2 linked regions of the Sus scrofa genome follow. The protein of the gene in region 2 binds, or shares a complex with, the protein of the main gene of each other region. Links are inferred from orthologs where the notes say so. Each region holds a gene or a part of one and is shown on either strand. Other genes may lie near its edges.

The links.
Region 1: BCAS2 (region 2) and CDC40 share a complex: the UniProt entries of both Homo sapiens proteins name them as parts of the postcatalytic spliceosome P complex. The link is inferred for Sus scrofa from reciprocal best matches to the Homo sapiens genes BCAS2 and CDC40.

Annotation. Positions count from the first base shown.
Region 1 is NC_010443.5:76,211,445-76,218,614, reverse strand, and holds part of CDC40 (pre-mRNA-processing factor 17), read right to left. Parts: intron 6,377-7,170; coding exon 6,293-6,376; intron 4,894-6,292; coding exon 4,754-4,893; intron 3,467-4,753; coding exon 3,370-3,466; intron 2,090-3,369; coding exon 1,950-2,089; intron 1,160-1,949; coding exon 1,085-1,159; intron 1-1,084. UniProt on the Homo sapiens protein: Required for pre-mRNA splicing as component of the activated spliceosome. Plays an important role in embryonic brain development; this function does not require proline isomerization.
Region 2 is NC_010446.5:105,997,788-106,004,957, forward strand, and holds the end of BCAS2 (pre-mRNA-splicing factor SPF27), read left to right. Parts: intron 1-3,138; coding exon 3,139-3,189; intron 3,190-3,805; coding exon 3,806-3,886; intron 3,887-5,071; coding exon 5,072-5,198; 3' UTR 5,199-5,373; downstream 5,374-7,170. UniProt on the Homo sapiens protein: Required for pre-mRNA splicing as component of the activated spliceosome. Component of the PRP19-CDC5L complex that forms an integral part of the spliceosome and is required for activating pre-mRNA splicing.

The DNA.
Region 1 (7,170 bases), on a different chromosome or scaffold from region 2:
CTTCCTAGGCCCAGCCCCCTCCCTTTACTTAGTTACCTTCCTATTGAGGTACGCCTCCCCTCTGAAACGAGAACACCTTGCACTTGCCTCTACAACATCGTAATGAAGTGATCACCTTAGTAATTTTTCATCCTCAGCCCCTTGCACATAATAGATAAATGTTTACAGAGGTGAACTAAATTGAATTCTATGCTTTTTTAATTGGTTGGCTAGAAGATCTTAATTTCAGTTAACGTAGTCTGTGTAGAGTGAAAGTTAAAGGAAATAAGAGTTTTAACTCCAAACTCCAAACTGTTGTCCCGTCATTTTAAGCCACTAAGTAGAGGCAAATGTCTAAAGGGTTGTTATCCAAAAAAGCTGCCTTTATATATTGGTATTAACCATGAATTATTTACAAAGAATAAAATTTTCATCAGTCAACCTTTCAAGCTTCCAGAGCATCATAGGGTTGATATTTATTGACCACTATAATGATCTGGACGCGGAACACACAAAAAATATAAAAACTATCCTCCATATTTAAGTTTTTAAAAGGCTTTCCCATATTCAAGTTGACATGTATCGGCAACTGAGCTTTTCCTACCACACAATTTACAGCTGAACATTAGCTAAATGTGGAGCTTCTCAAGGCTATAAAAAGTGGGAGAAGAGGCTGGGAGCAATTCTGCTACTAACATTTAGGAGACAAAGAGTGAATTATATTATCTACTCTTTAAAAATGGGAATTCTATCACAGGTTCTCTCTACCTCTATGGTGCTGAAGAACAAATGAACTCAGTGACATATCCAAAAACCTCTATAAAAATGCATTACTAGTGATTAAATATTTGTGTCTAAAGCTGAAGTGATTGATTATGTTCTAATCGACTATCTAAGCTTACAAAGAGCCTAGCCAGTTGGACCACAAAGCCATATCTGAATCAACATGTTGGAAGCAGTTCATAAATTGCTGCATAGAAAGGGCCTAAGAGAAAATAATTAGCCTCTAATTGCCTAACAAACCCAGATTTATTTATAATTAGCCAAATAGATTTAACCAAAGCACTAGCTTTGTAGCACTCCTACTCTGTTACTGAAAACCCACCTTAATTTTACAGTCCATGGAACAAGACAGCAACAAATGGCCGGAGAGAGGAAACAATCTGACTGCACTGACACCCTGTAAAAGGTATTACAATTATCAATTAGAAGCATTTGAAATATCAGCTAAAATCAAACGAAGGGAAAGGTGGTATATTTTTAAGCCACCTAAATTTACTATTTTTCTTCATTCCAAAAATTATGCCCCAATATAATAATAATAATAACCTTTAGTACTGACTTCCTAACCCAAGGGAATTCTTAGTCCATCATTTTGCTAATGCCCTCACTCCTCTTCCTTCTTTTGCTCAGGCGTTTGCTCAGTCCGTTTGCTCTTTGCTAGGAGCAGGAAGTTACCAGTTATAATAGTGCAGATAACAAAGAATATCAGTATCAAAGTTTTCAAGTATCTTGTCTCTGCATTAGCTTAAACATTACTATAATTTATAAACCAGGGAGCATCTAATCTTCTTTGAAGTGTGGTAATCCCAAGAGCTAAGGCAAAATAATGGAGGCTTTACTGCTAGAACCAGCCCATTACTCACTGATTTGGTGCCCAAGAGGAAGCAGACTATGGTGGGAACTTGGAGGGAAAAGTCTAGGCCACTGTAAGAGGACAGGACACTGAATTATGAATGCTCATGTCATGGCCCATCCAGATGACCTTGAAGACTGAGCACTTATTTGTGACTCATATGTGTGAGTACGTCCAGAGTCTGACTCTGGTTTATTTTCAATTTGACTTCTCTGTTCTATTTGACTTCCTTACATCTTTCCTAGAAATACTGAATGTCCCACATCAATAGCTAAAATTTATGTTGGCTTTACTAATATATATTACAACAAACAAAAACTACTAATATGTTTACCTTGGTGTGTCCAGACCACACATGAATTTGTTTTTTGGGAAGATAACATTTCTCAGGTGGCACAGTTGACCTCAGATTAACACCAACATCCTGAGGTATGTGAAGATAGGATCTGCCTTGATAGTCATACATTTCTTTAACTGAAACAAGAAGGCAAAAAAAAAAAAGCTGTGAACAAATATAATTCCTAGTTATGAAATCTATATTCTTAAAATAATAAGAATTTTATTCATTGGGAATATTAAGGTTTAGGTAATAATATTGATGATGTTAAGACCAAGAGTCAGCTAAAATTTAGCTGCCTGAAATCATCACTGTTGTTTACAATTAGAGGTAGTATTTTGGAATTCCTAAATATCCAGACACTATCAGACCTTTAAACAAGATCTTACTTCCTTTACTCAGTTATACATTTTAGTGGTATATACAAAAGACTCCACTGTTGTATAATTGCAGAGAGGAGAAAAGACAATTCTTGGGCCTTGTGAGTCATTGGCAAAGAATCAGAAGCAAAACAGAATAAGGAGGAAGTTAAAACAAAAAAATATCAAATATCCTTTTCCCTGCTTTCCTCATTTATGCCCTTCCAGGTTCCTTTTCCATTCTGTTTTCTACTTTCAACCCAGATTTTTCAATAAAGTTACCTGTGAGAATTAAATGACATAGTATATATAAAGCATTTAGTAGCATGCTGAACAGAGTAAGTACTCAATAAATGTTGGCTGTTATATTATTATGACTGCAAGCACCACAATACTAAAACTTGAAAAACCAAATATATTTGATAAGTGATATAAACCTATATATTTGAAATGATATAACATTAGAATAATCAATACTATCAGAACTGAGTTATTTTTCATAGTTTGTTAATCACTACATAATTTCCCCAGTATAACTAGATACTAATGAACCAGGTAGATTTTAAAATATTTTAAATTTATCTTGGTGAATATGTATTGCCTTCTAAAATCAAAGTAAGGATAAGAATCTTAATCTCTAGTCTACGTACATGAAACAATGTATTCTTTTAAAGTACAATTTAGTAACACTTATGAACTGTGACAATAACTGGAGAATATCTGGCTTGGGTTAAAAACAAAAGGTTAAAATGACTGGTTATACACCAAAAAGAGTCAACTTTATCTTAGGAAAGAACAGATTGTTAGCCATAATCTTCTTTATCTACTTTCAAAAAAAAATTCATTAGCACTTCAAAAAATCATCTGTGGCTATCTCTGTTTTATTAGAACACAGAAGAGTTTGCTGTAATTTCTTTGGGATGAAAACTGTCCAATATAATTCTTAAAATAATGAATTCTAGTAGCTGATTAGTAAAGGCACTTGATATATGAACAGAGAACAGAGTAATTACCTGAAAGTTTATCATAAAAATGAAGAGGGATAAAAAATACATTACCATGTAAGATAGTCTTTTCCTCCCCAGGTTTCTCTTCTTCCTGTTTGCCTTTTTTCTGCCTCTTTGCTGTGATTTCATCCAATTCTTTTTGTTCTTCCTAAGGAAATTAAGAAATGAACTTTAAAATGGATGTTCTATGGAGTTCCTATTGCAGTACAGTGGGTTAAGTATCTGGTTACAGCAGCTCAGGTTACTATGGAGGCATGCGTTTGATCCTTGGCATTGCTGCAGCTGCAGCATAGTCACAGCTGTGGCTCAGATACAATCCCTGGCCCAGGAATTTCCATATGTTGCAGGTGTGGCCATAAAAAAAATTAAATAAAAAAATAAAATAAAATGGATGTTCTAAAACCCCTCATGGCCAACAACAGTCAAATTCTTTACAGTGAGGTACACTTTTTGGTGAAACAATATCTGCAAGTATGTCTCCCAGGATAACAATCTCAGCTATTCTTTGGCAAATCACAAAATACCATTACACAAACAGTGGGTACTAGTTAATCTTTAAAACTCATTTTATATAAAACTCATCCTTCTGGAGCACTCAAAAAGTGATTTAATATATTATGCTAATTATTCAAGAGAAAAGATGAGGCAATTAAACAATCTAGTACCAGAAAGGACAGTGAATTTTAGTTCACAATGTTGTTCTTCAGTAAACAGCTTTCATGTAGTCATGAGGATATAAGCAAGGGCTACAGATTTGTGGTACAACTTTTATGGGAGGAGCAATGAAAGGAAGGTGTGAAAGTAAATAAATAGCAACATATGTACATTACTGAGATAGATGGATGTGAGATATAAGCCTAAGCTTCATGACTAAACTTCAGGAGGATAGGATTTTCTTAATCTTGTCCACTGCTATATGCCTAAGACCTAAAACAGTGACTGGCTCATAAGAAGCAGTAGGGTTTAGGAGGCGGAGAGAGGCAAGGCAGAATTTTATAGTTTTATTTTATAAACTTCATAATATTATTAAAAATATATATATACTTTGTTAAAATTTTAAAATAAATTAATAAAACTTATCAATTCTAAAATCAAAGAAAGAAAGGCTGATTCTGTAATTACTATCTGAATATCTGGTATCAGAAAAGGAGCTACCATGGCACCTTAACAGCATTATCAAGGTAATTTTTTTATTAAAAATTATTCAATATTATATTCTAATTAAAAAGTATGAAAGAAAATAAAACAGAAAAATATAAACAAAAATTATTCCAAAGAAAAACAAAGGAATCTTACTGTATTTTCTCAATCAACCAAGGCAGAGAAATTCTGATGAATCATTTGGTACTCTAAAGAAACCTCAAGTTTATTAGTATAGATGCCCTTCATAGACCCAGCATACACCTGAATTGGCAATGAAAATCATAAAGCTTACTTCTGAAGGTTTGGCTACATCTTTTTCATCCACATATTTTGCCCATGGTCCCAAGAAACCATCAATATTAGATGCATCATTTTCTTTGAATTTTTTCCTCTTTTCTATTTTCTTCTGACCAGTTTCAAAAACAGTTAAACCTGAATTAAAAAACAAAAAGCAGAGATCACAAATATGGGTATTTTCTAAAGAAATAACAATATATAAAATAAAACCTGTATGAATCCAGATATACTGACTCATGCTATACAAAAAAAGACAACTTTCTGGGCAAAGGAGCTTTCTACTACTACAATATTTTGCAAATCCTAATACATGTGAAGAAAAGACCCAGCTATGTAATCCTGCAGTGGTACACAATATTTTTAATTAATCATAGATCTTTATCAGATTTTAACTACTTTTTGAAACATGGCAATTTAATATTGCTAAATAATGATAAAGTTACCTCTGAGAGCAAGAATAAATTAAGCTTTCTCTTTTAAAAGCTGAATTGGATTAAATTATACTAAGTAATTAGTAACTCTTTCTTTGCTTCACTCGTAATGCAACAATATAAATTATACAAGGTTTCACAAAAATCTGGTGTTTTTTCCAAATTATCTCAATCTAAACTTGACCTCTAATATCATAAATCTTAATAGTAAGAAGAAAAGAGGATGTTTCTGGTCAAGATTCTGATTTGATCAGTAGGAAGTGGCATGCTGTGTGTAGTCATTAAATTGGAAAAAGAAAGGTTTATGGGCATCATAGTCCCAAGGAAACTGTTAACAGACATAAGATGTGGCTTATAGAAGTCTAACAAAGAAAAAAGCTTACCTATATGATTTCAAATCAATTTCCTTTAGGCTGTGTGTTATAACAAAAACTTGTTAAAATCCTATTTTAACAACCTCGCTCAAAAACCAAAGGCAGCTTGATTATGTAGGCTCTAGAACTACTAAGTGCCCTCCTACAAACAGCATATTCTTTTTCTAATGAGAATTTTATGGGTGAGATTCCAACTGGCTGATGAGCTTTGTGACAAGTTAGTATTTAGAGTATGATGCTTTGTCTTATAATAAGTACAAAATGAATACGAGCACAAAGATATGTTTTAACACATAATTCAAACTCAGTCTTCAAAGCAACTCTTCAAAGACATGCACAGTATTTTTTTCTGTTCTATTAAAATGAACTTTGACATTGGCAGTGTTGAGAATGAAAATACTAAAATTAGCTATACATAATTTTAATTTCTTAAATGATTTCTACAAGGTTGGCACTATGCCCCCAACTCATTATCCACCCCACACCAATGCCAAAATAGGTTTGACAATCTCCCTTACAAGGTTGCATACCTAGAAGTGGCAAAAGCAGCTCTAAACTAATAGTTCTATACACTGCTCTAAACTATTATCACCTATTGTCTCAACTGAAAAAAAAAAAAAAATCGAGAGCTAAATTAAATACTAGTTTTTTTCCTACTGTCTAAAGTCAATCTACAGGACAGTAAGTATAGGTATATATATTTGATATTAAATATTTCAAATAAATTACCTTGATTTTTTTCAGCTTCTTCTACAGAACCAATATACTTAGTAGATACCTGATGATTATCTAATGAAGGGTCCAATGCATAACCTGAAGTAAAAAAGTACAAAGCACTGACTCCATTTTTGCCATTTACAATTCATTTTAATTCTATACACATTTATTCATTTTATACTTTCCTTTCCAGATGTTTAAAATGGTCTCTTTAACATAGGACCAGTCCTTCTTTCCTGAGCTATGTTTCTATTTAGAATAATTAACCCAAATCCCAGGCTGGATGATGAATGACATCAGTAGAAGAGATGAATCTAGCATATTGACATTATATTGCTAAGGGCTTCTTAGACCAAAATATCAAACTTGACTCTTCAGTTTTCTAAGAGCTTAAACATATATGTACATCATGCATTCAGAAGTTTAGAGGAGTTCTTATCACGGCTCAGTGGAAACGAATCTGACTAGCATCCATGAGGATGTGGGTTCCATCCCTGGTCTCGCTTAGTGGGTTAAGGATCCAGCGTTGCCATCAGCTGTGGTGTAGGTCGCAGATGCAAATTTGACCCCCTAGCCTGGGAACCTCCATATGCCATGGGTGGTGCAACACCCCCCCCAAAAAAAAACAAAGAAAAAAAAATTTAGAATTTTTTGTTTTTTAGGTAACATGGCTTAGTTTATCAAATTATATAAACTATTAAGTATTTTTAAAAAACAGGGTAAGAAGAATTACATAAAATTTAGCTATTATTTTGAAAATGCCATACTCGTTGAAGATAGTCTTCTCTCCCAATTTAAAAACAGTATATTTCTACTTCATAAATCATTATTTATATTTCTTTGGTAAGAGAAGTTAGGCTATCCATAAGCACATGGATATACTCCTTCAA
Region 2 (7,170 bases):
TGTTCATGTCCAGCAACTCAGTTTTTTTGCTGCTCTGAGCATGAATGATCACAAAACACTGCAAGTGTTGATTTTAGGTTACAGAAAAATTTGAATAAATAGGCAAAAATTCACAGATACAGAATCTGCAAATAATGAGACCTGACTGTAAGTAGAGAATTAACACCAGCAAAAAAATCCCAAAACAAGCCACTGAGTTCCTATTTCTGTTCCATATAATTAGCTTTAGGTTTTGTTATTTATTTAGGGTTCAGTTCCTATTTGTAAGTCAGTGCTTAGATGATCTCCATGGCCCCTTTGGGCCCTAAAATCCCAAGTCTCTATTAACAGTTTAAGGAGAAAAGGCCGTTGAACCTCATGAGTGTGCATAAAACTGTTAAAGAGTATGATTCCTGAAACTGTAAAGCAAAATTGCAAAATGATAAAAACCTTTTCCCAAATTTTCAGAATTGTGTTTAAATTTCTGTGGCCATATAGAGATTTGTGGGCAAAATCCAGCATTTAAGAAGCTACAGAACAATTCACTTTCTACTGTGAATATATTACAAGCAGAATAAAGGGGAAATGGGGCTGGAAGGATTAAGAAATATAAAAGAGCAGATCATTCCTAAAAATGCTTGTATTTTACTAAGTGGAAAAATGTCCTCTTTATCCTCAAGAAGCTTTATCTAGTTGAGGAGACAATATATTCTGTGGCAGATAACCACTAGTTCATTTTGGTGATACGGGGGCAACTGCTGCATTGCATGTTGTGGTCCATAAAGTACTGAGATCCAAAGAAGGGACATTTAGATCCCACATAAAAGTGATTTCATGCAGTATTTGTCTGACTTATTTCACTAACCTTCATATTCTGTAGAGCCATCCACATCACTGCCTATGGCAGTATTTCATTCTTTTTCCTGGCTAATACTCCACTGTATGTGTATATGCATAGCACATCTTAATCCTGTCACCTGAAAGGCATTTGGGTTGCTTCTATATCTTGCCTGTTGTAAATAGTGCTGCTATGAACATTGGGGTGCATGCATCTTTTTGAATTTAGAGTTTTCATTTTTTCCAGATAATTGCACAGCAATGGAATTGCTGTATCACACTTTTTTTAGTTTTTTAAGGAACCTCCATACTGTTTTCCAAAGTAGCTGGACCAATTTACATTCCCACCAACAGTGCACAAGCGTTCCAGAAAAGAGTGAGCACATCCCAGGAATGGAGGAGGGCATAGATTTCAGGGTGGGCCTGGAATATTACATTGAAGAGAACATTGCTTTCAACTTGCCTAGAAACCATTTAGTAATTTTCCCTTACCTACAAGGTAAGGTCCAGACTCTTTAACATGGTATTCAAAGCAAAAGGCTATACTTCGGTTGTAGACTTCGACTCCAGCCAAACTAGTCCTGACTTTGGTAATTATCATAAACCCTGCTCCTGAGCCTTTACTCAGGCATTGCCTCCTCCCGGAATACCTTGAACTCTTCTACCCAGATTCAGCTTATTTAGAGCCCGACTCTGATCTGCTTCCTTGTCTTCCTTGATTGAAATTCTACCTCTGGTACTCTCTTCATGTTCTTAGTAACTTTACAAATAATCATGCACGTGTTTTCCATTTAATTACGTAACACTTTATAGTGTTGGCCGTTCTCCTGTGCACCATGTTTTCTCTCCTCCAAACCCAGTGGATACTTCTCTAGAAATGTACTATGTCTTAACAAAGTAAATTTTCTTTCCTTGTGGAAGGATTTGAGGGTGTCAAATAGGCTAGACAGTGCTTTTAGCTTTTAGCAGGACTGCTAACATATGTATGTATATGAATATATATATATGTATGTATATTTCATTCATTAATAAGAGAATTCTGTACATGAAACTGAGGAGTAAACCTTCAAGGTCAGCTCCCAGTTTTACAAATAAGCAGATTTGGGCCCAGTGATGTCAAGTGACTCAAGGACACATACCTATTTAGGGAAGCGCTGGGACTAGAACCCAAGTCTTCTGACTCCGTGGCACAATGTGGGAAGTTTCAGGTTCAGAGTACTTGAGGAGGGACCTGGGTACTTAAGAGGGAGGCTGGAAGAAGGGAGACGATGACAAACTGGGCATTCTGAAAGAGGTAATTCAAAGGAAAGCAAAAAAAAGCAAAGGAAAGTTCCCTGTTAATGGTTAGAGGTCAGGAAGAGACCACTGAGCTTCGTTGTTCTTGGCATGGAATGATGGTCAAAGTCAAGGAAAGTGGGATGAGCTAAAGGAAAGCCTGGAGAGGCACAGCTGTTTGAAGATCAACTCTAGAGAATTGGGGTTAGTTACAGAAAATTTGTCAGTAGAGAGAGGAGAACAGCAGGAAATTTGAGTCACAAAAGCAGGGAAACAATACTAGATCTACAGCAAGAGCATAGTAGTCAGTATGGTTGAAATGGACTCCAAAAGTGATTGTCTGCTGCCTTAAGAGGAAATTGATACAGTATGCGAATTATATCTCAATGAAGTTGTTATTTAAGAAAAAGAGGACAGTTGAACTCTGCCTTGAATCACTTCTCTAATGATAATAATCTCATGGAATTCTGTTATCACTCAACTTCTCCCCTCTGTACTTAGAGCAGGCTTGGACTAGAATCTGAATCTGCAGCCCTCCACAACAGGTCTCTTCTTAGTTAGCAGTAGACAGGAGAGAAGAATAATGCAATAAATGTAGATAAAAAAGGAATTCACGTTGTGCCTCAGCGGGTTAGGAATCCAACTGGTATCCATGAGGATGCAGGTTCGATCCTTAGCCTGGCTCAGTGAGTTAAAGATCCGTTGTTGCCATGAGCTCTGGCATGAAAAAGATTAAAAGGGGTTTAAATGAGTATTTTCCATCTTCTTTATAAAAAAAGTAATAACAGTTTAAGGAGTAATGTAAGTACACAAAATCAGAATATCGGTGAACAGCTTGGATCTAAAGTAGAATTCACCTCTGACACTTAGCATTAAATTAACTAGTATTATAGAGTGCCTAACAAGGTGTTTGGCACAGAGAGCTCAATAGATATTAACTATTTTTAGCAGAAAAACTTGACCTTGTATCAGCTAGATAGTTCGGTTTTAGCTGGTGGTATTTGATTTTAATGTACATTAATCTGATTTCCTTTTTCTTTTCCTTAGAAATCTAGTTCATATGATTGAACATGCCCAGAAAGAACTCCAGAAATTAAGGTAAATTGTTAGGTGAATCCTTAATAAATAGAGTGGGAAGAAGGAACAATGGGTTGTTGTCATATGAGAGTAGACAATTGATGATCCGCTCTTAGTCCAGTGTTTAGTGTCGAGTTTGCCTCACCTGAATGGAGGAGCAGAAGACCTGGTGTCTGAAAGCATCTCTACCAAGTCATTTGCTATCTGCAAGTCTGCAGTTGTTGAAAGGTCCCCTTTAGAAGGGGAAAAAGTTGTAGAATAATGTGTATAACCTGATTTATGTCAAAATGAAAGCCCTGATCTCTATATGTACATGTACATACAGGAAAAAATCTGAAGGAACACTCACCAAAAACTGAACAGAAGTTATCAGGGAGAAGGAGAAACACATGGGAGGAGGGACTTTCAGTTTTTAATTTGTACATGTGTGTGTGTATGTATTTTCCACTGTGAGCATGTTTTATGAAATTTGTAATTGAAAAATAATTAGAAGAAAGTTAATTCCTAGAATTAGTCCATAACTTTATGTATCTGTTCTTCTCAGTGATTAAAGATGTATTAATTATAGATTTTTCTGCTGATTTTGGTCTTATGTTAAAATGTAGATGGGTTATATAAATACATTTTTTTTTTTCAGGAAACATATTCAAGATTTAAATTGGCAACGAAAGAACATGCAGCTCACAGCTGGATCTAAATTAAGAGAAATGGAGTCAACGTGAGTATTTACAGTTCCATCATCTTTTAAATTGCTTAGTACATTTTAACGTCAAGATTCAGCGATGTAATTGGAGTTCCTTTCCCTTCATGGCTCAGTGGTTAATAAACCTGATTAGGATGCATGAGGATACAGGTTTGACCCCTGGCCTCTATCAGTGGCTTAAGGATCCAGTGTTGCCATGAGCTGTGGTATAGGTCACAGGCATGGTTTGGATCCCATGTTGCTGTGGCTGTGGTGTAGGCCGGCAGCTGTAGCTCTCATTCAACCCCTAGCTTGGGAGCCTCCATATGCCGAGGGTGTGGCCCTAAAGAGCAAAAAAAAAAAAAAAAGAACAAAAAAAATAAAATAAAAATTCAACAATATAATGAAAACAGTATTCAAATGGGGTGCCAAAAGTGCCTTAAAAATGCTGTTTTCTAAATCGCACTCTTCATTGCCTCTGCCTCTTCATGAAGTCTGGGCTTGGAAGGAAAACAAAAACTGAATCACTTCTAATTGATTCTGGTCTTAAGCTCCCTGTTTTCCATTCAATACTTCTGCTCTGAATAGGATTCTATGTATATTCTCCTTTTAAAAGGAAAAAAGTTTACTTTTTGATTCTTGCAGGAGGGAGATACTTTCTTGATAGTTTGTAAACTTTTTGTTTTGAGATAAGTGTAAGTTCACATGCAATGTTAAGAAATAAAAGAGATCCTGTACACCCTTTACTCACTTTCTCCCTTAATTGTTTTTGAAAATGTAAAGCTAGAAGTAAAAGTGAGTTTAATGATCCCAGCTGAAAATGTATATACTATAAAAATCTTCTAAGAGGAATTCCTGGAGTTCCTGCTGTGGTGCAACAGGACCTGCAGCATCTTTGCAGCACCTGAACATAGGTTCCATCCCCATCGCAGCACAGTGGGTTAAAGGATCTGGCTGCAGCGTCAGCCACAACTGTGGCTCGAAGCTGATCCCTTGTCTGGGAACTCCATATGCTGTGTGGCAAAAAAAAGAAGAAAGAATTCCTTTGGCACTGGGGGTTAAGGATCCAACATTTTCACTACTGTGGCTCAGGCTGTATCTGTGGGGAGGGTTCAGTCTCTGGCCCCAGAACTTCCCCATGCTGTGGGCATGACCCCCCCCCCCCAAAAAAAAATCTTAAAAGAGAGATTAAGTAATTTCCCCCCTTTTCTTCTTTTTTAGTTGGGTATCCCTGGTCAGTAAGAATTACGAGATTGAAAGGACTATTGTACAATTAGAAAATGAACTCTTTCAAATGAAGCAGCAACATGGAGAGGCAAACAAAGAAAACATACGGCAAGACTTCTGAAAAAGATTAATTTGGCGGGTAGGAAGGAAGGCTTTCACAGAAGATCAGGCATCTGAGCTATGAGGAACAATAACATCCTATGAAAATCATCCAGGTTAAATGTGGAAACCGTAGAATGTGGACTGTTATATGTCATTTGTACATTTAAGCAAAATAAAAAATTTCAAAATGGTGGTGTTTTTGTTTTTGCTATTAAAAAAAAAATCTTTAGGTCTCCAAGTAAGTATGACCTTAGAATAATGGTTATATAATTAATTTTGAGCCACTAGGACCATATTTTTTGTACCCAAGAGATCTTTATTGAAAGTTTTTTGGAGTTCCTGTTGTGGCGCAGTGGTTAACAAATCCAACCAGGAACCATGAGGTTGCGGGTTCGACCCCTGGCCTTGCTCAGTGGGTTAAGGATCCGGCATTGCCGTGAGCTGTGGTGTAGGTCGCAGACGCGGCTCAGAATCCCACACTGCTGTGGCTCTGGCGTAGGCTGGCGGCTACAGCTCTGATTAGACCCCTAGCCTGGGAACCTCCATATGCTGCGGGAGTGGCTCAAGAAAAGACAAAGTTTTTTCAACCTGTACGAGAAGTTGGAAACCTTTGGTTTATAAGTGTTTGAAATAAAGAGGTGGTTCTAAACAAATTCTTGATTACCAAACAATAAGAAATACAGTGGCTTCATATATCACCTATGATCATCACCACAGGTAACAGTTACATTAAGCTTAGTATGTGCTGAGCACTCTTCTAGGCACTTTGGGTAGATGAACTAAATTTACATGAATTTTAAAAATAATTTTTTTTTATCTTTTTAGGGCCGCATCGGTGGCATATGGAGGTTCCCAAGCTAAGGGTTGAATTGGAGCTGTAGCTGCTGGCCTACACCACATACATCCACAGCAATGTGGGATCCAAGCCGGGTCTGTGACCTATATACCACAGCTCACGACCACACCAGATCCTTAACCCACTGAGACACCAGGGTTGAACCTGCATTCTCATGGATACTAGATTAGCTTCTGCTGAGCCACGATGGGAGCTCCAAAAAAATTGATCCTCACAAAAAATTTGTTCCCATACATTTAACAGGTACTGATTAACTAATCTGCCAAAGTTTGTTAAGCTAGAGGGCATCATCCATGTTTTTTGTGGGGTTTTCTTTTGCTGTTGTTGCAGTTACTCCTTTTTAGGGCCACAACTGTGGCATGTGGAAATTCCCAGGTTAGGGATTGAATTGGAGCTGCAGCTGCTGGCCTTTGCCACAGACACAGAAATGTGGGATCGAGCTGCATCTGCCACCTACACCACACGGCAATGCTGTATCCTTAACCCACTGAGTAAGGCCAGGAATCAAACCTGCATCTTCATGGATACTGGTTGGGTTTGTTACCACTGAGCCACAATGGGAGCTCCATCATTTGCTTTTTAGGGCCACACACCCATGATATTTGGAAGTTCCCAGTCTAGGGGTCAAATCAGAGCTGCAGCTGTTGGCCTCTGCCACAGCAACAGCAACACAAAGCCAGTGATGGAACCCACATCCTCATGGATACTGGTTGGATTCATTTCCACTGTGTCACAATAGGAACTCCCCATCATCCAGGTTTTGAACCCACTAATCTAGTGCCATGATTGTGTTCTTAACCCTCTATATTTTAAGGGATTAAAATATAAAAAATTACTGCCTAATTAAAAAAAAATACAACATACCTAAGGATTAGTAGTCTTTAAGGACAGAGACCTTTTATAAATCACTGAGAGGTGGACTCCCACCAGAAAAAAAAGATGTTTAGCATTAATAATACAAATGAAATCTAGAACTTTTAAAACCCATTATGTTGATGATAGTGCCTTTTTTTTGAAGTATAATTGAAAATAAGGCTCAGTGCTTTTTTTCCCCCACCAACTGTATTGAAGTAGAGTTGATTTACAGTGTGTTAGTTTCAGGTGTATAGTACAGTAATTCAGTTACATGTATACT